Yarrowia lipolytica: one gene and its partners. The protein of the gene in region 3 interacts with the protein of the main gene of each other region in a pairwise test. Links are inferred from orthologs where the notes say so. Each region holds a gene or a part of one and is shown on either strand. Other genes may lie near its edges.

Evidence for each region.
Region 1: the proteins of YALI1_F03389g (region 3) and YALI1_C23755g interact in a two-hybrid assay, tested with the Saccharomyces cerevisiae proteins (2 studies listed by BioGRID). The link is inferred for Yarrowia lipolytica from reciprocal best matches to the Saccharomyces cerevisiae genes END3 and RAD26.
Region 2: the proteins of YALI1_F03389g (region 3) and YALI1_C09923g interact in a protein complementation assay, tested with the Saccharomyces cerevisiae proteins (2 studies listed by BioGRID, with this or other methods). The link is inferred for Yarrowia lipolytica from reciprocal best matches to the Saccharomyces cerevisiae genes END3 and SLA2.

What each region holds. Positions count from the first base shown.
Region 1 is NC_090772.1:2,372,460-2,384,082, reverse strand, and holds YALI1_C23755g (uncharacterized protein), read right to left. Parts: upstream 8,508-11,623; coding exon 5,250-8,507; downstream 1-5,249. Other genes in the region: YALI1_C23873g (uncharacterized protein), read left to right, coding at 1-706; YALI1_C23826g (uncharacterized protein), read right to left, coding at 877-1,398; YALI1_C23818g (uncharacterized protein), read left to right, coding at 2,228-4,966; YALI1_C23738g (uncharacterized protein), read left to right, coding at 9,937-9,987, 10,262-10,831; YALI1_C23723g (uncharacterized protein), read left to right, coding at 11,595-11,623. UniProt on the Saccharomyces cerevisiae protein: May be involved in the preferential repair of active genes.
Region 2 is NC_090772.1:983,335-994,828, reverse strand, and holds YALI1_C09923g (uncharacterized protein), read left to right. Parts: upstream 1-2,444; coding exon 2,445-5,429; downstream 5,430-11,494. Other genes in the region: YALI1_C09885g (uncharacterized protein), read right to left, coding at 5,822-6,322; YALI1_C09878g (uncharacterized protein), read left to right, coding at 7,007-7,882; YALI1_C09851g (uncharacterized protein), read right to left, coding at 7,950-9,698; YALI1_C09803t (uncharacterized protein), read right to left, coding at 10,612-11,494. UniProt on the Saccharomyces cerevisiae protein: Required for cellular morphogenesis and polarization of the cortical cytoskeleton. It might act in concert with proteins such as CDC42 and CDC43 to limit the region of cortical patch formation to the cortex of the bud.
Region 3 is NC_090775.1:334,866-344,584, reverse strand, and holds YALI1_F03389g (uncharacterized protein), read left to right. Parts: upstream 1-5,617; coding exon 5,618-6,820; downstream 6,821-9,719. Other genes in the region: YALI1_F03452g (uncharacterized protein), read left to right, coding at 1-371; YALI1_F03428g (uncharacterized protein), read right to left, coding at 740-1,708; YALI1_F03407g (uncharacterized protein), read left to right, coding at 3,868-4,413; YALI1_F03371g (uncharacterized protein), read left to right, coding at 7,405-8,463; YALI1_F03356g (uncharacterized protein), read left to right, coding at 8,976-9,719. UniProt on the Saccharomyces cerevisiae protein: Component of the PAN1 actin cytoskeleton-regulatory complex required for the internalization of endosomes during actin-coupled endocytosis. The complex links the site of endocytosis to the cell membrane-associated actin cytoskeleton.

The DNA of each region.
Region 1 (11,623 bases), on a different chromosome or scaffold from region 3:
AGACTCCAAGTTTAAGGTGGTGAGCTCCAACAACGGCGTCACATCAGCCACCGAGCTGCAAAGTGTGTTCACTACTGCCAAGCTATACTCTCGAATGGGCTGCGAGGTCATTGCCTTGAATCTTGTCCGAAACTGGAAATTCAAGAAGGACGAGGTTCCTGAGAAGGCTGATGAGGACGTCCAGGAGAACCAGAAGCCTGACGCGGACTCCCTTGCTGCGTTCAGGGACTTCAAATCCAAACCGGCCCCCATTCCTGCTAGCGAGGGTCCTTCCATGTTGGAGGGATTTGACATGGGTGGTGGTGGGAAAGGAGCTCCTTCGATGTTGGATGGGTTCCATGAGCCAAAGAAGGAGTCCAAGACCAACGCTAGTCATCCTCCTTCTATGTTGGATAGTTTCCAGGAGCCACCTTCCATGCTGAGTGGATATGAGGAGCCCAAGAAAGAAAAAACGTCCAGTGAACCTCCCTCGATGCTGGACAGTTTCCATGATTCTCCGAAGACAGAGGACAAACCAAAGAGCGGCACTGAAAAGAATGGTGTCAATGCTGCGAAGAAGGAGGAGGAGGACAAACCAAAGGCGGATAAGCCCGAAGACAACACTGAGAACGGTGACAAGACTAAGAAGGAAAGAAATGGCAAAAAACCAGCTCCCCCGAGCCAGTTCCAGGAGCCCGACATGAGCGCCTTCTCCTTTGGATTCTGATACATTGAATTACAAATACAATCGCATAACTATATGAATGAAAATAACTTATTTAGACCAATAATGTATCGTGGACTTGTCCGTGACAGACAGAATTACACCACAAGAATGGAACCACGCCTAGATGATTGCTACTGCAACCGACAGCTTCGATGAGCTGGTTGGTTCGCTTATTGAGGCATGTTTCCAAAGCCCTCGTTGATCTTTGCCTTTGAGAAGTCCATTTCCGGGTGCTGTTTTTTGAAATTCTCCAGGAGCTGCTGCTTGCGCTGCTCGTCCGACGTGGGCTGGCCCATTTCCTTCTGCCGCTGGTCGTACATCATCTTTTCCACCATGGCTCGTGTTTCTCCGTCCAGATCACTGAGGTTGGACTTCTCTGGCTCGATCTGGGAAACGTCAATCTTGGGGGCCGTGGTAACCACGTGTGGCCACCATTCCTGGTTGTGGACCTTCTCAATGCTGATGGTGACTTCTCTCTGGTCCTCCACAGTCCACGTTGACTCTTCAGGGGCGATTTTGCCAAACAGATCGCCTTGAAGAACGGGAGGCTGGCCCACGACACCTGCCGAGATGGTCGTGGGGGTGAATTTGATATCCATCTGCTTGCCACGAGTGCCTGGAGGCACGGGGAAGGTGATTGTGATGTCCTGGAGCGTCTGTCGCCACGCGTAGTGTTCTTCTTGGTGGCTCATGTGTGTGTATTGTACTGTCTGTACTGCAGCGTAGTTATGCAGATTAGTTGGAAAGCTAGTTGAAAGGTTTGGAAGAGAAGTGGAAATACTAATAATAACCCAACGGGTAAAAAAAGCTTGACAGACCCCTGCTGTGCCCGCAATTACCCTCAGTAGAATGCGTCATAGATATACTGGCACAGTAGTGATAGGGGGCTCGAGCGCGAGTTTCTGGTAGCAGTATGACAGGACCGAGAGTACCACGGTAGGGTAACCGATGCGACGACCAAGAGCACCCTCCCCCCAGAACACCCCGCTCAAGCGCATTAGTAAGCATTCCGCCGCCGCCGCATGAAACAACTGATGCTACAATATGTGCTCACACGTCACCGCATGTAGTGCAGCAGGAAGTGTATCGAATGGGAGGTGGGAGGTGGGAGGTCACGTGACCGGGACGAATGCGATGGCGGCGACGGACCTACTGATGGCCTTTTCTGGTCCACCTGTTCACCGGGGGGCATTTATTATGTTACCCCCTTCAAACACGCCAAGAGATTGCTTCCACTTCCTTGTTTGACGTTTTCCACTGTGGTCCCCCCCATGTTATGAATTAGACTTTGGTTTGGGCTACACTGACACTCCACATCACCAAGTGTATCTGCACTTGTATCTCTGCCATTGGGACTCTTCCGCCTCGGACCACGCCGAGATTGCGTCTGCACCCTATCCTTCTCACGAGGCCACGTCATTCGGCTCGATCGCGCTCCGCAAACACTCTGTGCCACTGCTCGCTCAACATTCGCTTGTCGATCGGAGTGCAAGCCTGACACCGACCGCCGCCGTGACCGTGATGGACCATTCGCCGTCGCCGCATCACCGCAAAATGTCGTCCAACGGGCACCTGATGCCGTCGCTGATCGGACACAAACAGCAGCAGCAGCATCAGCAGCAGCAACAACAGCAACAACAACAGCCACCGTACCCGACAGACTACTACCGTAAGAGCTTTGAGAGCGCGCCCAACGTGTCGGCCTCGAGCTCGGCAGCCGCTGCCTCTTCAACTTCAGCAGGAATGGGATCTCCGCACATGTCCCACTCACAACGCAGTCTGTACTACCACCAACAGCAGATGGGTCCTTTTTCGCCCTCGCAACCGCATCCGCAGTTCCAGACGTCCATGTCCAACGCCCTGTCGACCCAACAGCTGCCCCACCCGCAGCTCATGCACCAATACGAGCCCTCGTCGCCTGTGTCGACCCGCAGACCCTCACACGAACCCAGCCACTATCCCCCGACGCAGACACAGTACGGCCTGCCCCCCGGGCTCCAGCATCAACAACATTCGTCGCCACATGAACCGCTGTATAGGTCGCAACCCGGCACGCCACTGGCACCTCAGATGCAGCCCGGCACTCCTCTGGGATCAGTGCAAATGTCCTCTTCACCTGTAACGCCCCAATCGGCTTCTTACAACCCCTGGGCGTCCCCTCACAGCACCCCCGCAGGCAACTACGCCCGATCGCGGGTGTCACCGGTGCGCAAAGGCCAACCATCTCAACAACCCCAGCAGCAGCAGCAGCAGCAGCATCAACAGACACCCCAGCAGCATTACAATCCCGCCATGCCGGCAACAAAGCCATACTATTGGACGCAACAGGCACAACAAACACCTCAAACACAACCACCTCCCATCACAGCTCCTCAGTCGGCCCCTCAAGCGGTACACGTGGCTCCTCAGCCCATTCATGCAGCTCCACCACAGCCACCGATACAGCCTCAGCCGCAACCGCAGGAGCCGCCTGCGTCAATTCCTCCTCCATCCTTCCGACCGGTTGAACGGGCTTCTGACCTCAATCCCCAGGTCAACCCAAGACCCCAGAATCGTCGGGCAATCCCCGAGGGCGGCTACATGTCGCCTCTCATGTGTCTGACGTTGCAGCTGTCAGCCACGTACCAGATCTGCAACTCGGGCTTCAACTACGAGTCGTCCAAGAACCCACGCAGGGTGCTCACCAAGCCCAGTGAGCCGAAGCTTAACAATGGCCACGACAACAGAGACAACGACTACATTCTGTACGTTAATGACGTCCTGGGTACTGACGAAAACAAGCGCTATCTGGTACTAGATATTTTGGGTCAGGGTACGTTTGGGCAAGTGGTCAAGTGCCAGAACATGAAGACTAAGGATATTGTGGCGGTCAAGGTGATTAAGAACAACCCAGCGTTCTTAAACCAGAGCATGATGGAGGTGTCGATTCTTGAGTACCTGAATAACTCGGTCGACAACAAGGACGAGCACCACATTTTGCGGCTCAAGGACAAGTTTTTGCATAAGCAACATTACTGTCTCGTGTTTGAGCTGCTGAGTTCTAACCTCTACGAACTTCTCAAACAGAACCAGTTCCGGGGCTTGTCTATCAATCTCGTCAGGGTGTTTTCTCGCCAGCTTCTGGACTCTCTCACAGTGCTGAAAAACGCCAAACTCATCCATTGTGATCTCAAGCCCGAAAACATTTTGCTCAAAAACCTCGATAGTCCCATTATCAAGGTGATTGACTTTGGGTCTGCTTGCCACGAAAGAAAAACTGTCTACACATATATCCAATCGCGGTTTTACCGATCGCCCGAGGTGTTGCTCGGTATCCCATATACCACCTCCATCGACATGTGGTCCATGGGCTGCATCATTGCCGAGCTATTCCTCGGTCTTCCCATCTTCCCTGGAGCGTCTGAGTACAACCAGCTGTCTCGAATAGTGGCATCTCTGGGTGACCCTCCTAATTGGATGGTTGAGATGGGCAAGAACAGCGGCAAGTTCATGGAAAAGATTGTGGACGACCAGGGCCGCAAGCGATACCGGCTCAAGTCGCGGGAGCGATACTCCCGTGAGTTTAACGTGGATGAAAAGGAGTCCAAGCAGTACTTCACATCTGCAAATCTCAAAACCATTATCATGGAGTACCCCTTGCATAAGAAGGATATGAAGCGGGCGGATATTGACAAGGAGATGCTCAACCGCGAGGCGCTGTATGATTTCCTCATGGGTTTGCTCAACTACAATCCCTTTGAGCGGTGGACTCCTCAACAGGCGGCATCTCATCCGTTCATCACCGAGTCCAAGTTCACAGGTCCCTTTGTGCCACATCCCAAGGAAGAAAAGGACGTCTTCCACCCCACACCGACAGCCCAGCCCATTTCGCAGTCCCAGCCTCTACACGCTCAGGGCCAGAACGCCAATGCCATGGTCCCCCCCGGCCCAGCTGCAGGCTCCTCCGCAGCTCAGACGTCTGCTGAGGCGGCGCAGTATGCACACATGCAGCCTCCTGCCAACTGGAGCACCGGTCTGAAGCAGCAGAACTCGGGTTCGGGTTCGAGACGACCGCGAGCGTTGACATATGGATCCATGGATCCCATTCCGCCGCCTATTCAGAGAGCAACGGCTATGGTTAATCCTGCGGACCATATCCAGGCCCAACCCAGTCCCGCGTACATTCCTCCATCAGAGCTGACCAGGAATCACCAGGGACAGGGAAACGAGTATGGTGAGGTGGTGAGAAAGTTGGAGAATGGGTTGATGAGTCGGTGGTAGTACATTTGATGAGTCGGAGGTAGTACAGTTGAGGACGTTGTCCGAGTGCGCTATCGTCGAGTGCGAAGGAGGCCGGTCAACGGAAGACGTAATGCTGTGATTAACCAGCTCAACTACTAGAAGAATCTTTGCATCATGTATAAATGGATTTACATATTTTTATCCCATAACTGGTACTGTAGGCAAGGCAAGATTGGTTTTCCTTTTCGTTGTCCGAGTAATAGTTGTCGTGCCTGATGACAATAATCAGATTCATGTTGAAGCATGCATTATAAATATCTATCTACAGTTTATTTCCCATTTCATCCACGGGGACCACCTCCTGTATCTCCTCGTCCTCATCTCCCACATCCTCGACGGCCTTATACCTCCACTTCTTCGTGGCTCCATTCCACTCTCCAGCCTGTCTCAGTAGCTGTCTCATGACTGCCACCTCCTCCTGATTAGTCAACTTGAGAGCAAACTCGTTGGCAATGTCTTTCGACGACAAGCCTCCTGCTCCGGCCAGTTTGAGACTCTCGCTGATCTTCTCCAGCAGCTTGACCTTGTCCAGATCGCTCATGTTGATCAGACCAGTGTATGCATTAGTAGACTCCTCCAGGGATTTCTTCGCCTTAATGTTTTGCAGAATGGAGGACGAAGAGAACTTGTCTGACCCAAATTTCGGCACTCCGACTTTACCAGCCGACTGCTTCTTCTTGCCAAACTTTCCGGCACTGCCAAACTTGCCCGTCCAAGTCACAGTTCCAATGTCGTTGGCCTGTGCCTTCTTCCGCGAGTCTCTGAGAGCTTTGGCAGCTACTTCAGCAACTCTCTTAGCCTCTCGTTCGATGATAACGGTCTCTGGACGAGACGCATCCATGATAGCGTCGTGTTCAAGTGCAGAATGCACACCGGTCTGAGAGAAGATGTCGTTGAGAATGTTGTCATCGTTATCTCCGTCATTACTCTCGGCTCGTTCCTCCTCGCCGTTCTCAAACTTCTCAAGCTTGGACACTCCATTGAGACCGACCACCTGGTAGAAGTCGTCGTCGTCCTTCATCTTCTTCTCGGGTTTCTTGTTCTCAATCTTCTTTTCGGAACCGGAGAAAATCATACCCGTCTCGGTGGTGTCTCCTTCTCCGTCGTCAAGCGAAAACAGATCGTGAATGTCGTTCATCTTGAAGAAACGACGCTGCTTGGCATCCTTGAGAATCTTGTTGGTCAGAAACTGCTTGAAGATCTGCCGATGATAGATTTTCTCTTCAATCGTACCTGCCGTCATCAAGCGGTAGACAACAACATTTCGTTTCTGTCCCAGACGCCAGGATCGTTCTCGAGCTTGCAGATCCGTACTGGGGTTCCAATCAGGGTCAAAAATGATGACACGATTTGCTCCAGTGAGGTTCACACCAAGCCCTCCCACTCGAGTTGTCAACAAAAACAAATCGTACGACGTGTCCTTGTTGTATGTGTCTACCATATCCTGCCGCTTGGAAATGGGTGTGGTGCCGTCCATTCGAAGATACTTGATGTCAGGCATGTTAGCAAAGAAGTCTTCCAGGATCTCCAACATCTGACGAGTCTGGCAGAAAAGAAGCGTCCTGTGACCCTGCTTCTTCCACAGATCCACAAGAGCCTTGACCACCTGCATCTTTCCTGATTTGGCAGGGTCTCCGTAGTAGTAATCCGCTGTCTTCTTGAGGATCTCTCGAGACGCGAGGTCAGGGTGGTTGCAAATCTTACGTAGGATGTCGATACCAAATAGTGACTGCCGTTTTCCGGCCAGAATCGATTTGAGTTCTTCGGACTTGAGGAAACCCTTGTAATGCAGCCTTTGCGAGTCCGTCAGTTTGCAGAAGAGCACCTTCTCCTCCTTCTTGGGCAGATCAGTGGCCACATCAGTCTTCATTCGACGCAAGAGATACGGTGCGATCAGGTCTCGAAGTACAACGGCACACTTGTAGGCAGTCTGGACCTGGATGTTAGTAGCATTGGCGTACCCTCCAACGTTGATAGGAACAGCAAACTGCGAGTGAAAGACAGGCAGGGTACCCAGTCGACCGGGACAAACAAAATCCAACAAACTCCACAGCTCGGTGAGGTTGTTCTGAATAGGTGTTCCTGACAGAATCAGCCGATGCACCGTCTTGAGCTGCTTGCAGTCGAGAGTGATTTGAGAGTCAGGATTTCGAATCTTGTGACCCTCATCAAGAATGCAATAGCCCCATTCACGGTCCAGAAGCAGCGAGCGATACGATTTGAGACCTGCATAGGTCGTGACAACCACGTGGCCGTCCTTAAACACCTTGTCAATAGTCTCAACGAGATTCTTGGTGCTTGAAGGAGTGGGTCTAATCATTTCATCATCATCGTCATCAGAGTCAATCTCACCTTTGCGCTTCTTTTTGCCCTTGCTCCCCTCGCCCATACTATGCAAAATCACCACTCTCAGAGCCGGCCACCACTTATGGAACTCCTCAACCCACTGTTTCATGACTGTGGCAGGACACACGACAATGACGGGTTTGGTAAGCAGACCAGAATGATGCAGACCGGCCAGGAAACTGATAATTTGAATAGTTTTGCCCAGACCCATCTCGTCTCCAATGATACCTCCCGTCTTTTGCGTATGCAGCTCCCACAACCACTGAACACACGTCTTCTGATAGTCAAATAGAGCATTGAAGATTTCTCCAGGCACCTTGAAGTTGCCCTCAAGAATAGCATCGGCCTCAGGTCCGTCTAAAAGCCATTCCTCCTTGGCATAGTCACTGGCAGGAACGATGACTCCGGCTCTGGCCCTAGCCTTTTGGCGCTTTTCCACCCACCAATTAAGCCGTTGCTGATAAGACCACTCGTCTCCGTCGTCGATAGCTTCCGTCTCTGGTCGTTCGGTACGTCTCCGCTTCTTTTTCAGCTCCACAAGCTCCATATCTTCAGGTTCAATCTCGTCCGTAGTGTATCCAGATGAGTAAGCGTCCGCGTCGTCTTCAGCATCTTCTTCGTCCTTGATTTCATCCTCTCCGTCATCGTCGTCGTCCTCTTTGATATCACCGAGTTCAGTAATAGTGCTCGAAGTATATGGCTTGCTGGTATCAATGTTCTGAGTCACATCTCCTTTTCCTCTAGTAAACCCCCTGGTGTTGGCGAACGGGGTGATTTTTCCGGTTCGAACAAGGTACTCCTGTTCCGACTCGCCTTCATGTCGATCCGACGCCTGTAGCTCTGTAGTTGCACTGCTGGTGTCGTTCTCTTGTAGTCGCTGTCTGATGTCAGAAATGTCCTGCTGGACCGTGGCGAGCTCGGTGCGCTTGAGAGTGGCCACGTCGCGCTTCAGCTTCTCGCGCTCGCTGATCTTGGTGGCGGGATCATTGATCTTTCGCTCCATGGACCGCAGTTTACTGAGAAACGTCTTTTCAGCATCCTGCGCCTTGGAGAGCCGTTTGGTGTCGATCTCAAACTCGCGCTTCTTGAGAATCGAGTCTGCCTCATTGGTGATCTGGTTCTCCAGCGTGCCCTGGTCGACCACGTCCACCGAAAGCCGTGATAACTCGTCCATCAATGTTGCGCTAGTCAATATAATGGAAAAAATTAATTAACAGACAGCGTACATGTTCATCGAGGTTAATCGTAACCTAAAATTTTTGTGGCGAAAATCAGAAAAATAAATTAGGTTTTTTTTTTTTTTTTTTTTTTTTTTTTTTTTTTTTTTTAGAGCAGGCAGGAAAAACAAAAATATGGAGAAATAAGGGTGATAAACCATTGATATCCTTGGGCAACTTCACTCTGAGCCGATAAATCAAGCCAGAAGGATCATATATACGGGAAAACCTCCAATAATCACATGAGGGAACGCCGTCGTGTTTCCACCGTTGGAGGAAGAATCATGAGGTCGATGCCAGCGACTTATAAGAGTAGTTAGGAGATGATTGGGTCTGTTATCTGACAGAGAAAGGCATAGAAACACCCATGACACCCATGTAGAGTCTTATTTCTTTCCTACCGGTACAGTAAGTCCTGTTGGGTGACAGTCAGAGATGCTGACAAATACACCTCCAGTAATTTAGTGTTTTTGCTTTTCGCACTGAGAGGCGAAAAAGTGAGATTGTTGATGAATATTGGTGTTTTTTGAAGCATATGGTTTTTTTTCTTCCGATTTACTGAATTATCTTGGAATTTTCTGAATTATCTTGGAACTTTCTGACTTGTTTGGAATTTTCTGACTAGTGCGAATTTTCTGAATTTCCTTTTTCAATTTACCGAGTCATCAACGGTACATGAATGGCGCAAGTCCGTTAATGTGGGGAGCATGAGACGAAATACACAATTGAAAATCGGATTAAATCGAGGAAAAATTGAGAAATATCCGTCTGTGAGCCGAATAGTCGGTATCTCACGTGTTATCCACAAAAACAAACAAGACCTTTCAGTTTACCAAAAGTCACACGTCCATGTGGCTTCGGACCCCATGTCTCTATCCAGTGAGCAAATAATGAGCATTTAGAACGGCGTAATGAGCATATATGTAATCAATTGAGCAGATTTAGTCTGCGGAAACAACAAGTCTAGCCTGATTTGCACGTTTTCAAAGCTGCAATTTGCTCATCGTGGCTTGCTTCCGTCCCCTCAGTTCCTTGTACCTTCCACTATCCTCATAACCACCAGGGTTCTCTTAAACCCCAAGCTACAACCCCAGGAATCAGCTTTCTCTTTCTTAGTCCAAGACCCCAATTTGCTCTCGTCAACACCAAAATGTCCTACGTCCTGCCCCCTCTCCCCTACGCCTATGATGTGAGTATTGTTGAGGATACAGAACATGGAGGACACGGCCGGACACGGTCAGGGTCAGACATGGTCGGACACGATCAGGGTCAGACCCGACAGACATAGATTTTTCGACGGGCCCTGAAGATAATGACAGATGGACAGACAGTTGCCAATGGGTCAGTCCTCATTGGCTAAAGCAACTACCCCTAGGCAACCGTCTCATGCATGGTCTCAATCAGTCAGCATCAATGCTCCGGTCTAAGTGGATGGAGGTCGGTACAGTACCTGGAATAGTCCCTTGTCTCTGTGTGACCAGACATGACCAAATATGGTACAAATCTATTGGAAGAGCAACTTGATTGACTCACCCGACTCAATTGATTCACGTGGTGCCTAGTCCGTCTGTTAACCGGGTCTCTGTCTAAACTAATCGAGTCCCTAAGTGATTCCCGGGACTCGACGTGTCTAGCCCTGTCAACTATCGGGTCTGCTCTCCCTGGTTTAGATCCCGTCAATCACTCTGCCTCTGCTCTCGTACTAACCTAGGCCCTCGAGCCCCAGATCTCCGCCCAGATCATGGAGATCCATCACTCCAAGCACCACCAGACCTACGTGAACAACCTCAATGCTGCCACCAAGCAGCTGCAGGAGGCTGTCGCCGCCAACGACGTGGTCAGACAAATTGCTCTGCAGAAGGCCATCAACTTCAACGGAGGAGGCCATGTCAACCACTCCATTTTCTGGAAGTCACTGACCCCCTCGTCTTCCGACGGAGCCAAGGGAGGCGCGAAACTCAAGGAGGAGATTGCCAAGCAGTTTGGCTCTCTGGATGAGTTCAAAGCCAAGCTCAAGGCTGATCTTCTGGCTCTCCAGGGCTCTGGTTGGGCTTGGCTCGTGTCTTACCCCGACGGAACTCTCAAGATCGAGGTCACCAGCAACCAGGACGCTATTTCGGCCCCCGGAGCCGTCACTCTGCTGGGAATCGACTTTTGGGAGCACGCCTACTACATCCAGTACTACAACAACAAGGCCGCCTACTTTGACAACCTCTGGGAGGTGCTCAACTGGGACTTTGCCGAGAAACAGTGGGCCCAGCGACCTCTGGCCAAGTACTAAGCCCTTCCGAGATTACCAGTAAGTAAGCTGGCAGAAACGAGCCCAATAGTATACGATATAATAATTAAATGAGCTTGAAATGAAGAGAGATTTTGTTAGTACAGTTATTTGATACTTATTCAACCATTACTGACGAAATATAGTACATACTAAGTCGTACATACCTGTCAATACTGTATGTATGGGAGATGAGAAGGCTTGTAAAGTCTTGAGAATCTTGCAAGACACTCTCAGGAGTTAAAAGGTATCATATGAGTACCAGTACATCCATCTATGGTGACCCCAAGACCAACAGTTTCACTTATACTCTTCACTAATACTCTTCACTTATCTCGAGTTCAACCTGGAGCGCCTCTTTTCATGGATACGAGAACCCAGATATGACTATTTACCAGGAAAAACCAAAATTCCCCACCGACCGTACAAACCCATCACTGCTGCAATCATGTCGCTCTAGCCAAGCATGTTTTGTGTTTTTTTATTTAATTTTTATTTAGTTTTTATTTAGTTTTTATTTCCGGAGATTAAGTTCAATGCGCATCTTAATTAATTGCCGGTACCTTAATAACTCCGAGTCTCCATGATACAGTCGACCGTTGTACAGCATTTCAATTCAGCCCTACAATCAGCCGCTTGGAGACCAGGCGGGCCAGCAGAGGGCCAAAAGTCACGTGTACTGCCACGTGGCACGACAACAACAACGCCCGTCGTATTTTTGGTCACGTGATCCATTTTCTCCCTCCTGCCTCCAGCCTCCAGTAAAATGTCCTACACTACGTATGTACATACTTA
Region 2 (11,494 bases), on a different chromosome or scaffold from region 3:
GTGGCGACTTTAATGGTTGCCCTTGGGAGGATTCGCTCTAGTGGGGGCTTAACCCTAACCCTAATTTTCCAAAGAAGGTTGGTGCAGTGTTGGTGCACACAGGGTGTGAAAAGGAGCTCTTCGAAGGAGGTGGAAGGTGCAAGGGAGTCTCGATAAGGGGCTAGAAAACGGTGGTTTTGGACGGCTTTTGGGCAACGAAGCTGTTTTTTTTTGTTTTTTTTCGACATTACTGGCACCTACGTGACCTCATATTACTTCCTACGCCCTCCGTTTTCCGCTGCCACCAACTATCAACGTCGCTGTGCTAACGTTCCGTCTCAGTCCAAACAGCTGAGAAGCACCCCCTGAAAGAACCGAATGTAAAATGACGTCAAAACAAGGACGTTGGCGATTCGTCGATCACAGTTTTAACAGGATACGGGGATGCTAGCACGTGCCTCAGACGACGTGTTTGTGGTTTAGATAAGTAAACATGCGTCATTTGGGGTTTTTTCAGCTGAAGGTCTTCTCTTTGCACTCGTCTAATATCTCTTATCGCTGTTGTTAGCTCCATCTAAGCTCTCTCTAAGCCCTCTACTCTGTTTCCACTTGCTCCATACCATGCACCATTAACGCCAGTGTGACGCTGCAATATTGGGGGTAACGGAGGCTGGAGTTGGTGGCGCAACGTATATACGAGAGCAAGAGATGGTAATCTGAAGTGAGAGCCGTACTGTTCCAGAATATGACTTGATTTTGGCGCTTGTACCTTTGACGATTGCTGTAGACTGCTCGATAGCGTGAGTTACATAAGCCTGAGTAATGAAACTAAAGGTCTGGTTGTACTGATGCAAGTGATTAGTTTGAGGTGAATCTGACGTCGGAAAAACACCGCTGATCTACTGTAGACTCATCCCATGAACTTTAGACACGGTACGATGATGTCTTTACGCTTAGCTATCTAGCTGAGATGGACCAAAGATCCAGTTAGGGATACACTACGGCATGAATCACACGGAACCAGACCCACTAACATCAGGGGAACTGGTGAATTCTCAACAAGCAGTCAAATGGCGTTCACGAGGCTTCCCAAAAACCTCTCCCAGATCATCTCCAGCTCAACCAATATCTAACAACGAAGTCAGCTAAACCTCCATATTTTTTTATATTTTTTTATATTTTTTTTATAAGAACGTGATACCTTTGTCATATCTTGCTTAACCAATACCTAACCACTATGTTAACTAAATTACCTGTATTTATTGACCCAAAAACTAGTTAATGTACCCTCCAAAACATGTCTGCATTACGGCATTTTGCTTAATTCCCTAAAATTAGTCATCACTGCCATTCTCGCCACCCAGCCACGGCTGTTACACTTCATAAACCCATCTCTTTAAGTCTCTCCAATCTTTTTTCAATGTCTCTCGAAATAGCTCTAGGTGTCGTATTGTTGTGCGCTAATTAGGGGGGTGAACAAGTCTACCAAAAGACGCAATACTCACCAGATTGAAATTTTTAAAGCTGAAATGGAACCACAAAGTTGCAATAAACACCTTTACGTCTTCAGTTTCTCAATACCACTTCTAACCTCCCCTCCAAACCCCTCCCACGAAACCTCCAGATTCCAAACGGCACAACCTAAAGATGCATACCCCATGTCTTAGTGTGGAGACACGTAGCTAAGCCATTCGCAAGCGCTTGCTGCTGAGTAAGAGAAAGACCGATAGACGGACCTTATTTATCACGTCATGAGACGCTTGGTATCTATCACGTGACCCCATACACACTCCCCACAAACACTCACACAGTTCTGTTCTCGGGTTGCATACTCCCCGTTTAATATCTCATGCAGCATCAGCATGAGGGGGCGGTTAGGATGATATAAAACCCTCTGATAAGTCCTCCAAGTGGTTATACAGGGACTTATTCGGACCACAATTACTCCCAAAGACTTTGTGTTCTCAATTGAGCTATTCTAGGGTTCTTACTAAGCCGGTTAGATCGATACGAGTGCTAGCCGTCTTTACTCCTCATGTATGTAGGTGTATTGGAGATGTCCTTGACGTGTCAGTATGTGCTCGTACTCGTATTGTGGCAAACTCTGTTGATCTCGGTGTTGGAGAGTCCCAGAAGTTGACATGGCACAAGTTCAGCAAGTCCGTATTAATGCAACAATATTGCCACTTTCGCTCTCTGCTCCTCAGCTCTAGAGACCCTCAAATTTCACTCGGACTTAACACTGTGACATTAAAGTTGTCCCAATAAAAACACCGCATAACGAGGCTATGCGTTATCACCGGTGTCACTTGCTTTACTGAACTTGGACTTGGAGTTGTTCATCTGAGCGAGGAAGGAGTCACGCAGACACAAAAGCAATCAGACACAGCGACTACGAACGAACCCGACACAGACACAGCCGCTAAAGACACAAACTCAACAACTAGTTCAGACTCCCTTCTACGATGTCTTCCAACAGAGCCGAAGTGGACCTCAACGTCAACATCAAAAAGGCGACCAACACAGACGAGTCTGCGCCCAAGCGGAAACACGTGCGAGCATGCATTGTGTACACCCATGACCACCGGTCGTCCAAGGCCTTCTGGAACGGCATTCGAATTCAGCCCCTGCAGACCGACGATGTCATGGTCTTCAAGGCCCTGATCACCATCCACAAGGTGCTTCAGGAGGGCCACCCATCGGCGCTGAGAGATGCCCAGGCCAATGTCAACTTCATCCAGTCGTTGGCTCGAGGAAACAACTACACTGGTCCTAACCAGGGCAACCATGGTTATGGCAAGCTCATCTCCGAGTATGTCCGGTTCCTCATGCAGAAGCTCACCTTCCACAAGTACCACCCGGCCTTCAACGGAATGTTTGAGTACGAGGATTACATTTCTCTGCGAACCGTTAACGACCCCAACGAGGGATACGAGGCCATTATGAACCTGATGACCCTCCAGGACGGAGTGGACGACTTCCAGCGACTTGTCTTCTCGTCGCTGCAGCGATCCCGATCCAACGAGTGCAAAATCTCGTCTCTGGTTCCCATGATTGCCGAGTCGTACGGAATCTACCGGTTCGTCATCTCCATGCTGCGAGCCATGCATGTGTCTACTGGTAACGACGAGGCTCTTGAGTCTCTCCGGCAGCGATTCTACTCGCAGCACGACCGCCTGAGAGACTTTTACTACGATTGCTCTACTCTCAAGTACCTGCGATCCATCGTGACTATCCCGCAGCTCGGCAAGAACCCTCCCAACCTGCTTGAAGAGGAGGACGGACCTGGACTCCCCCAGCGACCCAAGTCCGTGGCCGAGACCCGATCTGTGTCTCCAGAGCCCGCTCCCTTGCCTGTGGCGACCCCTACGCCCTCTATTCCTGCTGAGGCTCAGCCGATTGAGAACTTTTGGTCCCAGGACGCGCTGCTCGCCCAGCAACAGTACGACGCCGAGCAGGAGCGGCTACGGCAGCAACAGGCCATGGAGGAGGAGCGCATCCGGCAGATGCAGATGCAGCAGCAGCAGCAGTTTGAAATGCAGCAGCGACAGCAGATGGAAGCGCAACAGCGGGCTCAGGAACAACTAATGGCCGACCAGATGGCCCGACATGCCCAGGGTCGAATGGCCGAGCTTGAGCGAGACATTCTGGCTCTCCGAGGTCAGTACGATCAGGATCAGCTCATGCTGGAGCAGTACGATGGTCGAGTAAAGGCTCTGGAGGCTGAGCTGAATCAGCTGCAGCAGACTGCTCATCAGAGCGCCCAGGCCAAGGATGATCTGATTGAATCTCTTCAGCAGCAGATCACCATGTGGCGGCAAAAGTACGAGACTCTGGCCAAACGGTACTCGTCCATGCGAGAGGAATATCTTGCCTTGCTCAAGAAGCTCAAGGCTACCCAACAGAAGGCTGCGTCAGCTAAGGAAGCCATTGAGAAGGCTGAGAAGCTGGAGCGAGACATGCGACACAAGAACATTGAGCTTGCTGATCTCATCAAGGAGCGAGATCGAGCTCGATATGATCTTGACCGTGCCAAGGGTGGCAACAAGGAGGACGTGGAGCGTCTGGAACGAGAGCTTCGAATGGCCCAGGACAAGCTGGCCGATAAGGACCGATCTACCGGTGCTGATCTGTCTCTTCTTTTGTCGAAGCATAACCGAGAGCTTTCAGAGCTTGAGAATGCTTTGAAGATGAAGCAGCGGGCTCTGGACGAGCGAGGAGATGACTCTGATCTGTTGAGACGACTGGAAGAGAAGGAGATTGAGTACGAGGCTCTCAACGAAGCCTTCAACTCGCTGGCTCTGCACCAGGAGCAGCAGGGCAACAACAGCAACGGTGGATCCACTCCCCTGGCTGCTTTGCATTCTATCATTGATGCTCTTCTAGAGTCCGGTTCCCAGCGTGTTCAGGACGCTCTCTTCGAGCTCGAGTCGCCTATGCAGGCCGGTAACCAGAACTCGACTCCCGAGTATCTCTTGTCTGTCATCGAGAAGGCGTCCGAGTCTGCTTCCGCCTTTGCCACGTCGTTCAACAACTTCTTGGCCGACGAAACCGATGGCGACTACGCCGAGATCATCAAGACCGTCAACATCTACTCTACTGCTGTGGAGAATGTTCTGTCCAACTCCAAGGGTCTCACTCGTCTGGCCAAGGACGATGCTTCTGCCGACGCCCTTGTCAACTTTGCTCGTGAGTCTGCCGAGGCCACAGAGCGAAACTTTATTGGTCTTCTGTCTGAGATCATTGAGGATTTCCCTCTGGATGACAAGATGGAGCGGGTCATCACTCTCAACATGAACGTGCAGACTGCTCTTCAGCACCTCACCAAGCTGGCCGAGCGAATGGCCCCCAAGACCAACATCAACATGTCTGGTGATCTGGGCGACCTCGTTGAGCGAGAGATGGCCAAGGCTGCTGATGCCATTGCTGCTGCTTCTGCTAAGCTTGGCGATCTGCTCAAGTTTAACCAGTCCGACCCTCTCAAGTCGACCACCGACCTGCAGCTGCACGAGGCTGCCATCCAGGCTGCCCAGGCCGTCATCAACGCCATTGCTGCGCTGATTCGAGCTGCCACCGATGCCCAGAACGAGATTGTAGCCCAGGGACGAGGTACTTCTTCTCGAGCACAGTTCTACAAGAAGAACAACAAGTGGACCGAGGGTCTTATTTCCGCGGCCAAGAGTGTAGCTGCATCGACCAACATTCTCATCGAGAAGGCCGACGGCACTCTCCGACGAACCTCTGGTCTCGAGGAGCTCATTGTGGCTTCCAACAACGTCGCTGCTTCCACTGCTCAGCTGGTTGCTGCCTCTCGAGTAAAGGCTACCTTCATGTCCAAGACCCAGGACAAGCTGGAAGAGTGTTCAAAGGTGGTTACTTCCGCCTGCCGAAACCTAAGCAGGTGCAGGAAATTCTCAACAAGAAGTTTGGCGAGCTGGACGAAAAGGTAGACTACGCTGCCCTCTCCAAGCACGAGTTCAAGACGACCGAAATGGAACAGCAGGTCGAGATTCTCAAGCTCGAAAACGATCTGCAGGGCGCCCGAAAGCGACTTGGACAGATGCGAAAGGTCGCCTACCTGCATCAGGACGAGGAGGAGTCCATTCCTGGCCAGGAGGACTAAGCTACGCGCGGCTGATGTATGTATAACATGTATGGTAAATGAATGAAATGATATTTTTAGTGATCGAATGATGAAGAAGGCTCTGCGATGCTTTACTCGTTACATGACAACTGTCCAATGCGACAGTTCTATGTTACTATGACACACACTATTTATTACGATGCAAATTATGTTGACATGCATGAGACAAACCCCACTGTAACCACTTTATTAGAAATGCTAAGGGCTCTCAGGGAAGCTGCACTCATCAATGGACCCGGGACTAGTCATGGGTGAAGGTATGAACCTAGTTGATCCATCATCAGGGGAATCCGTCTTGGGCTCTCTGAACCGACGATTGGTGAACCATTGTGTAACCTGATGAAGTGAGATTCCACAATGCTCTCCAATAATTCTCCTCTCTGTTCTGGTTGGATGAGAACAGATCTTGAACAGAGAGTCAAGATAGGCGGTAACCTCGTTACTTAACCTATTCCGGACTTTCTTAGGAAAGACGTCACAGTTGTGATCCAGACTCTGCAACTTGTCAGCTTCTTTTAGAGCTCTGGCTTTGACTTCGAGGTCTTTGGTGCTGGCCTCATAGGCCTCTGATTTCGCCTCTATGTCTTTGTCTAAATTTGCTGCGACCTCTAGATAGTCATCAAGCAGCTCTGCGGCAATTCCTTTTGCAAGACTGTACTCATCATTCCAATCAGCACCCAGTATGGCCTTACTGGTCATCCATTCGTTCTGTTTTAGTATTCCCCAATACTGCTCTTGTTTTCAATATACTCACTAATCTCGCTGGTACCAGTTGCTGGATGTAAGTGATGTAGTGGCGAATCAGCCTGTCGTATTTGATTCTGTGTTCATTTGGAACACCCTCCAAAAAGGTCCAAATCGTTGTGCTTATGTAGAGTCCACTCTCAGGGAATTTGGACATCCACTCAGAAATCTCTTCAAACCATTTAAGGGAACTGGAGATTTCGATTGACTGTTCGTGAAGGGCCTGGCACGTGGTTTCGCCTTTTCTTGCGGCCAAGATCAGGCGCTGGCAGCGCCAGATATCTGTAGGGGTTCGGCTAGGCATGTGATGTGGGGAGAAAAAAAATGTCGTATCTGTTTAATTAAGTACCAGGGTGTACTTGGTGGGGCCGTTTCTAGATATATATTTACAATGGTCACTTGGACTGGTCAGACGAGGTGGATGTGGCTAGTTTACCCCGATATTATTCATGCACGCCGTGCATATGGTTCTGGAACAAAGACACCTTAAGCGACATTGGCTCTTGCCTCATCACAATTGCCTAAACTAGAGATCTAGTATTTCCAGACCAACACATATCGACAAATATATATAAACAACATGCAACTCTCTTGGCTGGCTATTATCAGCTATACCAAGCCACACATAACATCCTCAAAATGGAAAACACGATACTACACATTCATTCCTTTCAACTACCCCAAACAGAACAGCCCTACCCCGAGGCTATGTTATTCGACAGGGACACTAGCGATTCACGTACGGTTCTAACTCAGAAGCCAAATGGACTGGAAATATCACTCAACTTTTTGCAATATGACGGTCACAAGGGGCTGTTCATCAGGCAAGACAGTCGAACGAATGAGCCTGAGTACATTGAACCCAAAGTTCTGAAACCTAGGAACAGCTACATCTTGTTCCGAAATGCAACATCCAGATGCTCTCAGAGCATTGATCCCAACTCAGCATTTGTTTCGAGGGTCTCCAGTTATATCTGGGGCTCGGGAATCCCCAATCCTATTGTTCGGCGATGGTTCAAGTATATGGGTTTCTTCGAAGCCCTATACCACGAAGTCGACTATCCTGAGTATATCCCGAACAAACTGCCCAAGTCCCCAAAGAAGCCGAAGGTCCAGAAGGGTGCAACTAAGTCTAAGAAAAAGGGAGCAAAGGGTAAGAACAAGGTTACTGCTCTCCAAGTACTGGTCGGCCCTACCGTTGGTGTCGGGGGAAGGATGACTGTTAGCCCAATGACTGCTTTCTTTAGCAACAACTCTCACGTTACGTGCTATGACCCCAACTTTGTTCTCGATACACCTACTCGAGAATTCCTCATGATGCCCCTGGATGATATCACTCTCCCATCGCAAGGACCAAGATCAGATTCACAGGAGCAGCACGTCCCTCGGCAGCCTCCCGATGGGCAGGACTATTTTGACATTCTGGATATTGATGATTTCGTTTCTCCTTATGATGACTTGACTACTCGCTCGTTCACCAACAGGCAGCTTTTTAAGCATGCCACACTGGGTTGAGCTTGGTAATTTTCTGTACTCACTGTACGTTTATCATTGGACACACTAACGGTATTATAATTTAATTTTATTTCCACTGAAAGAAGTTACATCTGGCACTGGTGTCGTCCTGGGAGCCCTTGGCGTCGGGGTCTGCCGATGCCTTGTAGGAGTCGCCGACGAGCTGCAGCGAGTGGTTCTGGCCACAAACCCAAAAGTGCTTGCCCTGGTTGGGTCCCTTTTTGCGGGTGGTTCTTAGCACCGCCGGGAGGTTGTGGGCACAGACGGGGGCAGGTTTTTTTGTCATGATCTTGGACCACTGCGACGCGACCTTTTCGGCCTCCTCCACGCGCTCCGCAATGTCTAGGTACTCGGTGGGCTCTGGCAAGTCCAGTCTGGTGGCCATTTGCGGTCTCGTATCTTCACCCTCTCGAGTCGCATGCGCACCTGCATCGCAACCTTGATAGGTCCTTTCAATATTTGGGGACGCGGCGGGTGATTGTGATTGTCCCAACGGCTTTGTGTGCACATCCGAGACGCATGTTGATACGACGGCAGCTTCTGGATCTGGCTTTTGGAAGAAGGAGGAGATGGCCGCCTGTTTTTTGGCAGTCGATTTGGAGGGCGCTTTGGGTTTGGTAATGCCCTTGGTCGGCGGCGTTTGTGCCCGGAACATGGACATGACCGAGGTGGTCTGCACAAACTGCTTGTTAGTTCTGTGGAACAGTTTTGGCCGAAACGAGTTTGGGGCTGAGGACGACGCTTGTTTGGTCTGGTTAGCTGCACCTTGAGTGGCACGGTTGTCTTTTTCTTGGCACGCGTCTGGTTCGCGCACCTCTGCATAAACGGGACAATGGTCTGAGCCCTCCAGGTGGGGCAGAATATCGGCATCCTCCACCTTCAGACCTTTTGAGGCCAGCACGTAGTCGATACGAGACCCAAAGTTTCCGGGCCGGTAGTTCATCATCACGTTCCAGCAAGTATACATGTCGGGTCGATTGGGATGCTTGTCGCGGCACGAGTCCTGTAACAGGTCGGGGACCAGTCTGTGGAAGACTCGTCGGCCAACTTTGGCTTCCCTCCAGCTCTTACACTGTCCCGGGTTGAGCTTTTCAAACACCTCCACAAACCTGCCCTCCTCCTTATCTCCCAGTGTCGGTAGAGTGATGTGTTTGGCCTTGTGCAGCGCTTGCATTCCCTCAGCTGAGTCGTACAGCTCGCGTGCCACATTGAGATCTCCCATGACCACCACCTCTCGTCCAGCCTCAACCAGAAGGTTGACCCGTTCCTCCAGCAACCCAAAATAGTCGTCTCTGTAGGCATCTCGCTCCTCGCCCTCGGTGGCGGTGCTAGGACAGTAGAGCCCAAACACGACACAGAACCCCAGGTCCAACACAAGAGACCGGCCCTCCGAATCGACCTGAAAGAGCCGCTGTGGATTGCCCTCGGGATAGGCGCCGATACAACTCTTGCTGCTGCCGTCTCTCTCCCTTTGCCGCTCGTACAGCTGCTGGTAGGTGAGTCCCTTTTTGGAGTCCGGAGATACCAGCTGACCGGTAAGACCCTCCTCGGCCTTGAGAACTTTGATGCCATGTTTCACATAGACCGCCACGCCGCTGTAGCCCTTTTTTGTGTTGGAAAAAGACCAGTACGAATCGTATCCGGGCACAAGGGCGTGTTCTCGCTTCAGCAAATGGGGCTGGAGCTTGGTTTCTTGTAAACAGATCACGTCCGCCTTCAGCACCGCAAACATGTGCTCAAACGACCTTTGCTCGTTCCATGGATGGTAGCTCAGCACGTTGTTGATGCCACAGATGTTGAACGTGACGAATCTCATGTGGCGACCGGTCCTGCATGTGGACTCTAGCTACTGTAGGGTGCTATCGCTAGATCACGGAGGTGAGTTTGGAGTTTCTGCAGAGTTTATTTGAGCGGCTAAAATACAGTATGTTCTATTGTATGCACAGCACATACAAGTAGATACTATTACTTGTAGATATCACCAATATACGCACCACAGGTGATATAACTGCTCCCGTGCACGTGTAACAATGGGGACATTTGGGGCATGAAAATGCTCCATCAGCCGTATCACTCTTTTGTAGGGACGATTGACTGGTCAAATTGGGCTGATTTCATGATCCCCGCAAGTATCTTTCGTTTCAGGAACATTTTATCGAGAGTGAAAATGTGTATACGTTTGTTTTATGATGAATAAACTGGTCAGTCTGGTTTCAGGGTCTGTTGTATTTTTGGGTCTTTTTCATGGGTCATATATATAGAGTGATACCATTGTTACAGTAATTAGGGCTGTTCTAAGTATCACTGTTTTTTTTTTTTTTTTCTGCATATACATTCATTTAATTATAACTTTGCCGTGAAAGAATAACCTTTGAAATGAATGTACGCTTACACGAATATTACTAATTAAACACGTTTAGTGTCATGGTCCAACTTGGCACGTACCTATTTCCAGTAAAAAAATCATAAAAAAACCTGGTTCAGTCCGTGTTGTATGTTGGTCCACATAGCTTCGCGTGTTTGTTCGTTCATCGGGAAAACGCCACTCCAGTCTCCAGTTCTCTAATCTCAATCCTTCCATTGCCCTCTTCATTTGCATTGCCTTTGAAAACTTCTCCTTGTGGTTCTTCTTCGTCATTGGTTTGGTTCTGCGTCCCCTGTGGTGACTACGCGCCCTGCTACGCTGTTCTCTCGGTGGCCTCGGCCGCCTTTTACGCTTGCTACTGTGTCTACTCTCGCTCATCGTGAAGTGCTGGCGGTTGTCCATCGTAGAAACACATCTGGGCTTCCTTCAGGAATTGAAGCAAACCCTGTTGGACATGTCCCAGGGTGGCGTCGTCCCCTGAGTACCGGAGGGATCTCTCCATCTTCCAGATCCCATAAGCCAATTCCCGCAGATATTTGCGTGTCTTGACTTGTTGATGTTTCCGGGGGGCGTCACTGTTCACATGCCCTGGGAAAGAGGGGAGTACTCCACATTTCGACTCGGTAAAGATCCAGTCCTTTAGAGAGTCCACTGACGGAATCTTCATCCTGGTCAACATGGAAAGAAGAACTTCGCACTTGCAGAAGATATGCTCGTGCAGATCCTGAATGATGGCCTTATCACAGAGCCCGCATCCTGGATTCTTCTTGGTGAAAACGTGGTCGTCAGGGTATCTCCATTTCACGAGCGGAAGTCGAGATATCCGCATGAGGTGAAGAACTTGTGCTTTGTTGGCGTCGGCGATGTAGTGTTTTCGAAGGTCATGCATTACCTCCTGCCAGACCATGTCGTCAGAGATGCCCCCGTAGTCGCTTCGTTGAGTCCACTTCTTCGGTCGTGCAAGTGTGTGTGGGAAGTTTGGCAAGTCGGGAGACGAGGTCTTGTGAAACATGAAGTTCTCTAGAGTAAGTGGTCCCATGCTCCACCGGAGGTGGTCGATTTCCGCTGTGGACACCATTCTGACCGGATGGTATCGTCTCGCGGCTGCGATGTCGACGTGTGCTTCCCGGAAAGATTCTGCTGCTCTCACGTTCACCTGGTTTCGTTCCCAGATTCTGTGATTAACTGTGTCTGTTGTAGAGGGCTCGTGATCTTCTCGAGGGTTGGCATGTTCCGCGGTGAGGGGC
Region 3 (9,719 bases):
ACGAGTCTCCTGGATCTCTGATTCTGGTTGCATCCATGAGTGGCTCCATTGTCAACGACCCCCAGCCCCAGACCCCCTACAACATGTCCAAGGCAGGTGTCATCCACATGGCCAAGTCTCTGGCTGCCGAGTGGGCCCAGTACAACATCCGAGTCAACACTCTGTCTCCCGGCTACATTCTTACTCCTCTGACCCGTCACATCATCGAGACTGACGGAGAGCTCCGAAACGACTGGGAGCGACGAATTCCTTTCCGACGAATGGCTGAGCCCGAGGAGTTTGGAGGCCCTATTGTCTTCATGGCTTCCGACGCCTCCAGCTACATGACCGGCCACGATCTCATTGTCGATGGAGGTTACACCATCTGGTAAGCAAAAGAATAGACTAGTATTATATACAATACAATCGATAGATCTGATTGGCGCAAGTACAAGTAATTCATTGCATGTACGAGTACTTTGATTTAGGAGTACAATAGTAGCAGGTAATAACTCGTACTCGTTACAACTGTAGCACTCAGATAATCATTCAATCATCAGTAATTAAAGCCATATCTACCCGTGGATACATCTTTCATTTGTGGCTGTTATATTATTATTCACTATTTGAATCAGGTGTAACTCATGACATTGCCACTCGCGAACGACAGACTCTCCTAGTATACATTATTTTTACATCGCGGTAGATGTCAATGTCTGTATCAAACTCTACCAAAGTGTTGTTGCTGACTAGTAATAGCTTAGTAGACCTTCTTCTTCTCGTCAATGGAGATTTTGCCGGCTCCGGTGTTGACAACCAGCAGAAGACCGCCAATGATGGACAGGGTCTGGAAGTGCTCGTACTTGAGGTAGTCTCGGACGGGAGAAGAGGCGGGGAAGGCCCAGTAGGAGTTGGCGGTGATGTTAAAGATGAAGAGGATGATGCACAGGAGGAACGCGGAAACTCGGGCCTTGAAGCCAACAACGACCATGGAGCAAGCAGCAATTCCGACAATGGACACCAGAACTCGAGACATAGTCCAGGTCATATTGAGGATGAAGGAGGTGAACATGACAACCAGGAGGATTCGGCCTGCCAGGAGCACGTACTTGGACCGGTCCTTGTCGTCAATAGAGGGGAGACCAGGGAGACCTCGCTTGGACTTGTCCTTGACAAAGGCGTCGTTAAGAGCGATGAAAAGACCGCCAATGACGGACAGGTTTCGCAGAATGAAGCCAAAGTCAAAGATGAGGCCGTAGGCCAGAGCCTGGGTGACAATGACTCCGACCAGCAGACCGCAACCGACCTCAATTCGCTTCTTGGCGGTGACCATGAAGGATCCGGCGATCATGGCAACCACGTTGAGCAGCAGAAAGATGACGGTGATAAACTTGGGGATGTGCTTGAAGTTGGTGATGTAGTAGACCTGGTCAGACCACTGTGTGAGGATTCGGAGCGCGTCCTCCAGGAAAGTGACGACAATGAGGAACCGGCCGAGGGTGGGAAGATGGGGCTTGACCGGGCCCGAGTACTTGTCCAGGAAGACCTCAATCTTCTGGGTCACGGCCTTGACCTTGTCGGCAAAGTCGCCCTCTGTGATTGTGGATTTGAGGTTGAAGTCGCGGTTCTGGGAGTAGGACGAAAACTGTTGACCCTGGGGGGCTGCGAATTGCGGCGCGTCGCTCTGGACGGGTATCTGGTGGTATTTGGCGGTGCCTCGGATCGACATTGTTGTATGGTGTGGTGTTAACACAGGAAGATTGTGAAAGGTAGAATATGTAATCTTGTGTGTGCCAGGTGGTCTTTCGAGAGTTTGTTCAGATCAGCATGCCCACTTCGCTGCAGTAGCCAAAAACAGATGTGTGGAATGGGAAGGGTGGGAAGCTGGGACTAGGCAGGGTAGTTGTAAGTGGACGTTGGAGGGCTAATATATCTCCGTTATTCCGCCATTGCGTGTCCTCTTATACAGATTGGCCACTTTTACGGCGATGACATCTCCCATCTTGCTGTTCTCTTCGGTTAATTAATTAGGTCATCTCAAACTACAGTATTAGCTACAGTCCACGTCATGCGGCGGCAAGCTACTGTATTTGGTGGGGTTGGGGGGGAAAGGATGTTTATTACTGTAGAGCAGGCCTGGCGTAAGCTACTGTATAATGGCTGAGGGACGCGAGCATGGGTCTACGACTCATATGTAGGGCTAGATTGACTTACGGGCTCAAGTGATAGGAAAGGGCTTGTATACGCAGTAAAACACACGTTAATAAATAATTCAATTGAATCAAACAATATAAGTACAGTACGGGTACCCCAGATCGTCTACTCTATCGGTTGTGTCTCTCGCAATACAGCGTCCCTTTTTCCACCTCACGGTTTCACTTTTCACGCACGTCCCCAAACCTTTTTTAGCCGGGTCAAACAATGACGTGGCATCTGAAGGCCAGCTGGCTGCACTGCGTGCACACGGGAGGTGTGAAAGAGAATGGCTTCGAATGGGGTAAAGTGAGGCCATATGGGGCAGATGGGCATGTGCTACGAGAGCATGAGGCCGGTAGGGGTCTAAATGGGGTATTTGACTTGATGCAGATGGCAATTGTACGTGCACCGAAGCGACGTGACTCTCAGTTGAATACTGTTGTATACTGCCGTATACACTGTCCGAGGTCTATAGTGAGCAAGACTGATCAGTGTGGAAGTATTACTAACCGAGACTTAGTTGGGATCCTACAACGGTCTCAAGTAGCTACTGTAACGCGTCCGTCTCCTTGTTAGGAAAAAGCCCGTCTTTGCCTTCACAATCACTCTCTCCCACTCCTACACCAGTACGATACTTGACAGTGTATCGCATCTTAGTTGTACCGTAGTTTCACGCTCATTCCCCTCCATTGTTTTGACACGCTGGTCCATCGAACCTAAGACTAAATCCGATGCACGCGAATCTCCGGAGCCAGAAAAAACAAGCAGGGAAACGACAGCGAGACTAGAGATGGTATTGTAAGTGAGGAAAGTCGGTTGAAACTAGTACATAAAGAGTGGGGCCAGGCGGGTTGGTGGATTATTATCTTCCAAATGCTCGAAGACACGTGTATAGCTCATTATCTTCCCCCCCCCTACTCATCAAGCTTGGGTCATTGTTGCATTTAATGTTGTGCATTTCCAAGCCACGTGACCCGACAAGCGTTACCCTCCCTGACTCTGATGATGATTTGGCCTTTTTCGTCCCACAACCAACACAAACTCCTTTCTGGACTAATTGCAGCACTCAACCCAGACAGTCTTATTCATTCGATTTTGAATAATCAAGACTTTGTCATTAACTTATTGCATTTTATCGATTGCGTGAACTAGAGTGAGTATCTCTCGACGATGGATGGGCCCCTGGAGCTCCTCCATTAATCATTTCCCAGCACCTAGGGGTGTGAGCCCCGAAACACATGACAAGATACGATGAACAGAGGTGTCCCCAACGCCATCGACCAGCAATCAACATGATCAAACAGCCGCCATCCATTCCGACACCGAGGCATACACTTGTGCCATTTTTATTTGCCGACCTCCCACAACGCCACCGTGACAAAACGACACGTTTATCTTATGGCTATGCACATGCGTATCATCATGTATGATAGGGCACAACAACAGGGGGGGGGTTCGGGGCAATCAAAGGCAAGCGAGGATGGATGGAAGCCAAGCAGTACACGGATGGCGTCGTGTTTGACACTTCATACTCTCCACGCCTGTGCTGTCGCTGTCTGATTGCTCGCGTGGCTTTCTTTATTTTTCATGGTGCTGCATGGGGGGTGTTGTGTCAAGTCGTCGCGTCACCCTTAGACTTTTCGAGAAGAAATTTTCAACCTTTTACAACAACACACACATACTAACAACAAGATGGGTCTTTACGTTTCCAAGCTCTTCCAGGGCCTCATTGGCCGAAAGGAGATGCGAATTCTGATGGTTGGTCTCGATGCCGCTGGTAAGACCACCATTCTCTACAAGCTCAAGCTCGGTGAGATTGTCACCACCATCCCCACAATTGGTTTCAACGTGGAGACTGTCGAATACAAGAACGTCACTTTCACAGTTTGGGATATCGGTGGACAGGACCGAATCCGACCTCTCTGGCGATACTACTACCAGAACACCCAGGGTGTTATCTACGTTGTTGACTCCAACGATCGAGATCGAATTCCCGATGCTCGAGAAGAGCTCCAGCGACTCCTCAACGACGACGAGCTCCGAGACGCCCTTCTCCTTGTCTTTGCCAACAAGCAGGATCTGCCCAACGCCATGGATGCTGCCGAGATCACTGAGAAGCTTGGTCTGTCTTCATTAAGACAACGACCCTGGTACATCCAGGCTACTTGTGCCACCTCTGGTGACGGTATCTACGAGGGTCTTGAGTGGTTGGTCACCAACCTCAAGAACACTACTTAAGAGCCATGTTTAGTAACTGTAGTTAATACTGTATCGGTAGTATCTGGATTGTGGAAGCTCAGGTGGAGCTTTATATCAAGGAATTTCATCGTTCAATAAAGCTAGATGTAATGAGTATACTGAAAAGAATGAGTACAAAGTGCATCAGAAATCGTAGCCTCGTATCGAAGCCATGTACAATTGTACCCGTGGACGTGGTCGTTTACGTTGCACCTTTGCGACGCACTGTTATCTTATCAATATGTACTCGTAGATGCCAGCTGGCCTTTACTGGGGCTAATCAAACCATCTGCACAGTCGTGTCAGCGCTGTATATTTGTTGTACAAATACACCTATGGGATTTCTGCTTCGATCCAGTCCCTAGTATTACCTTTCGAGGGTGTTTCCGTTTGTGAGGGTGAAAATTTCATTTCAGAAGGAGCACTTAAAATAGCACCCAATTGGCTCTCTCACCTCCAACCAGGGGGGTTGTGAATTTGACGGAGTTAGCCCGGGGAGTTTGGTAAAACTACACTAGAGTGACTAATATGATGTTCCCAGAGTTTTAGGGTGTTTTATCTTCTTTTTACGTGTCCGGATGGTCGGGATCTTGTATTCTTCCACTGGTGTGTTTCTTGTCGTGTCATTTGCCAACCTCTTGCACTGCCATCTTTGGATTGGATTGGATGCCATGTGGTTGCACCTGGTGCGAAGTGTTCGATACACTCCTAATTACTTGTACGATAGTTGGTGGACGATGTAAAACGATGACCAGCTAATGAGTCATATTCTTGTAGTGGATAATCGCCATAAGGCGCTAATTGTGGCCATTTCCCTCTACAGTATGGTTCTACTGGTAATTGGATGTCTTGTGTTGTTCTTCGTTCTCCTCTTTGTCAAAAAAAAAGGCCTCGAAATTAATATGCCACACACGAGTGATAACCGTGTGGTTGCAGTGAAACATGAGGTGTACGTCATTTGGAACGTGTATAGAGAAGTTGGACTTTCTGACAGTGACAGAGTTGATGTATTACGGCCATTCGAATATATATATGGGGTAGCTGTAGTTGCTTTTCCACTCAAGTACGATACGATACTTACTTGGACACTACACTTCCTATAACCAGCCACCTCCCTCCCATCCCATCAGCAACAAGTAAGTTACCCTACCGCAACACCACATGCAGCTAATCGCTCACTAACAGACACTATCGGTGCCACATCATGAGTGCTCAAGGTAAGCTGGAGGAGTGGGAAATCAACAAGTACTGGGACATTTTCAGCGGGCTCAAACCCGTCAACAATGTGCTCACCGGCGACCAGGTTTCCCCCGTGCTCAAAAACTCCAATCTGTCGGAGGACAAGTTGGCCAAGATTTGGGATCTGGCCGACGTGGACAGTGACGGCTGTCTCGACTTTGAGGAGTTCTGTATTACCATGCGACTCATCTTCGACCTTCTCAACAACAACATCAACGACGTGCCCTCCACGCTACCCCAATGGCTGGTCCCACAGTCCAAGGCCCACTTAATAGAAGCCAACAAAGCCATCAGCCAGCCCCACTCCAAGCTGGATGATTCCGACGACGAGGATCTCGAGAACCTCGGTCTCTCTACAGATTTCGACTGGTACATTTCGCCTGCCGATCGAGATTCCTACTCGGCCATCTTCACAGCCAATTGTGACCGTCATGGCCGGGTCTCCTATGATGCTCTGACGGAGCTCTACCAGACTCTGAGCCGGGTGCCCGAAGGCGACATTGCCATGGCCTGGAACCTGGTCAACCCCAAGTCCGACGAGCGGATCGAGAAGGAGCAGTGTCTGGTGTTTCTGCACATGCTTAACTATCGAGAAAAGGGAGTGCGTATCCCCCGAGGAGTGCCTGCGTCGCTGCGAGCCACCTTTGAGAAGGCCACCCCTGAGTTCAGCATAAACTCGAGCCAGGCCGAGCTCAAGCCCCAGAAGAGCAACGCCCCTGCCTCCAAGAAGGAGGCGTTTGCCAACGGCTACCTGCAGAAGCTGGGTATTGGAGGAAATTCGTACTCAACATCGGGCACGGACTTTTCGGCCACCAAGGACACCGACTGGGAGGAGGTGCGGCTAAAGCGGGAACTGACGGATCTGGAGAACCTGGTGGAAAAGGCTGAACGTGCGGCCGCCGACTCAAAACAGCACGGCAACTCGTACTCCACGTCGCACACTGCATTAATCAAACGAGAGCTGGAGCAATTGCTTGATTACAAGGAGGAACAGCTTCGGAAGGCTAAGAGCGGCGCTCCCGCGTCGGTGGGGGAGACCAACCTCAAGGAAAGTGAAGAGGAGGTCAATCTGCTGGAGATGCAGGTGAACGAGCTGGAGGTTCACCAGCAGAGAAAGCAGCAGGAATTGGACCAGCTGGAGGCAGAGTTGGCTTCTCTGAGAAAGTAAGTAGAGCACCATTTTCTAGTAGAAGGTGCACAACTGAGCTGTATATTTAATGACAAATTTGACGAGCAATGAAGAAATGTCTGAAAAATGCTGGAAAGCATAGCCAATGAATGACTGGAACAGGACGTGCATGTGCGAAGACAGAGATTGCCAGCCGCTTTTCTAAAAGTGAAGCAAACATACAGCTCGAGAGATCTCATGATACAAATCTATGCATAGTAGTCACCGTTATATATAAGCCCCCAGTTAAGAGTATTCTCTTTGTACAGTATGTACAATGTGTCGACTTATGCTCTCTCAATCTGTGCCGGTGACAGTAGGTAATCTCAGTCTGGAAGCACTACAAGTACTTGTAGATATTGTAACTACTCGTAACTGTTGCTTTTGCCTTAGAATGGGAAAGTGCACGACACTTCTCAATGGCTAGGAGATAGATGAGTGTTGATATTACTTTAAAATCTAAGTAACCTACTTATCATGTTACTTATTGCGAGCTCGAATCCCATGAAACCCACTCTTTGATCTGCCAAAGAAGATGTTGCATGCAAAAGCCGTCCTTCTGAATCGACCCAGGTTGTACCCTAATGCATCAACCATTGAACTACAAGTACTCCATCCAATGCCATCACGGGTTGTACTTCCGTGAAAAGCCATCTTCCTACTCTGGACTTTTCAATAGCACTCATTCCGAATCTCACCCTACATTCCCATGTAACCAGCATCGCTCTATCTCAACTAAATTGTCATTTATGCATCTACTTCTTGTCGCCTTCCTTCTCCTCGGGCTTGGGGGTGGGGAGCTTGAAAGAGTCGGGTCGGTCGTCTCGACCGGGTCCAACAGGCTCCCAAGCGGTGGAGCCGGCAGAGAAGTTTCGGAAGGCCTGGGTAAGCTCCAGGGGCTCGTAAACCACTCGTCGCTTCTCCTCGTCCCATCGGACCTCAGTGTATCCGGTGAGAGGGAAGTCCTTTCGCAGAGGGTGGCCCTCAAAACCGTAGTCGGTCATGATTCGTCGCAGATCGGGGTGGCCCTCAAAGAAGACTCCGTACATATCGTAGGCCTCTCGCTCGAACCAGTTGGCGCCCTCGTACAGGCAGGTGATACTGGGGACGGGGGTCACCTCGGTAGCGTATGTCTTAAGTCGGATTCGCGAGTTGTGTCGCACAGACAGAAAGTTGTAGACCACCTCGAACCGGTTTTCTCGAGAGGGGTAGTCCACGGCGGTAATATCGATGATGGACTTGTACTGAGTCGAGGTGTTGTCTCGCAGGAAGGTAGTGACGGGAATGACAGCGCTTGGTGCAACGTGCAGAGTCAGCTCGTCCTTCCACACAGAAAAGCCCTGGATGTACTTGGGCAGAGCAGCCATGATGTATTTGGCGTACTGGTGGAGGTCCGACACGTGCTGGAGGTATCGGTCTGCGGGGTTGACGATGGGCTCGTAAACCTCGTCAACATGGACCTTGGGGTCGAGTCGGATGTCCTTGATGTTCTCCCAAGAGGGGGCGGCCTGGGCGGCTCGGGCGGAGGTCACAAAGGTAGCACGGGCTGCTGCGACGGGGCGGATGCCCATGCTGCCAATTCTGGCGAATCGAGAGAGCATTGTGTTAGTTGTGTGTTGTGTGTCACGACGGCTCCTGCGTAACCAGTATTACAGGCTTTTGCACCAGACAAGAGTTGGGTTTGACAATTGAATTTTGGCGAGTTTGATTGGGCGAGACGTTGGGAGAAACCCTGCACGTGACCAAAAAGTGGGAGGTATTGAATAAGTGGGTGTATGAAGCGGTGATGGGGTAGGGGTTGGTCGGAGATGGAATTTAGGGGGGTCAGATAAGTATTTATGTTTTTTCCCACAGGCATTTTGATAGTAAAACACCGTATTAGGCACATTTCTGTCCTGTCCTCACATGTCATTAGACTCCATACAAGTGGAACTTAGTCAGCCGAATTGGGCAAGCTCCCAGCAGGCACAAAACACGCCAAATTGTGAACTTACCCGGCACTAAACAGACAACTTGGCGATACAACTCTCTTTACACCACACACAGATAGCGTTGCCACACTACCAACCTGATCTGACCCATACACCACGTCACACATACAATACGACACCACAAAACCGCATCTTCATCATCACCAAGACAGACACACACAATAATGGCATTTCAGGCAGACTCTTTCATCTCCGATGAGGAAGAAGAGGTGTGTCCTCTCTGCGTCGAAGAGATGGACATCAGTGACCGAAACTTCAAGCCCTGTCCGTGCGGCTACCAGATCTGCCAGTTCTGTTACAACAACATTCGTCAGAACCCGCAGCTAAATGGCAGATGCCCCGGATGTCGACGGCCCTACGACGACGAGAGTGTTGAGTACAAGGTCATCTCGCCCGAGGAGTGGAAGAAGCATCATGTCAAGCAGACCAAGCAGGAGCGGGAGCGAAAGCAAAAGGAGCGGGAAAAGAAGGAGATGGAACAGAGCTCACGCAAGCATCTGTCGGGCATGCGAGTTATCCAGAAGAACCTCGTTTATGTCATCGGCCTCAACCCAGACATACCCACCGAAGATCTGCACAACACTCTTCGTGGCGAGCAGTTCTTTGGACAGTATGGCCGCATCCAGAAGATTGTCATCAACCGGCGCAACAACGTCAACGGCACCCCCGGCCTTGGCGTCTATGTGACGTTCTCCAAAAAGGAGGACGCCGCTCGATGTATCGCTGCCGTGGACGGCTCCATGAACGACGGCAAGTACTTGAGGGCAGCGTACGGCACCACAAAGTACTGCTCGTCATACCTGCGGGGCCAACCCTGCCCCAACCCCAATTGCATGTTCCTGCACGAACCTGGGGAGGAGGCAGACTCGTACACCCGGCAGGATCTCTCCACAATTCAGCATGCGGCT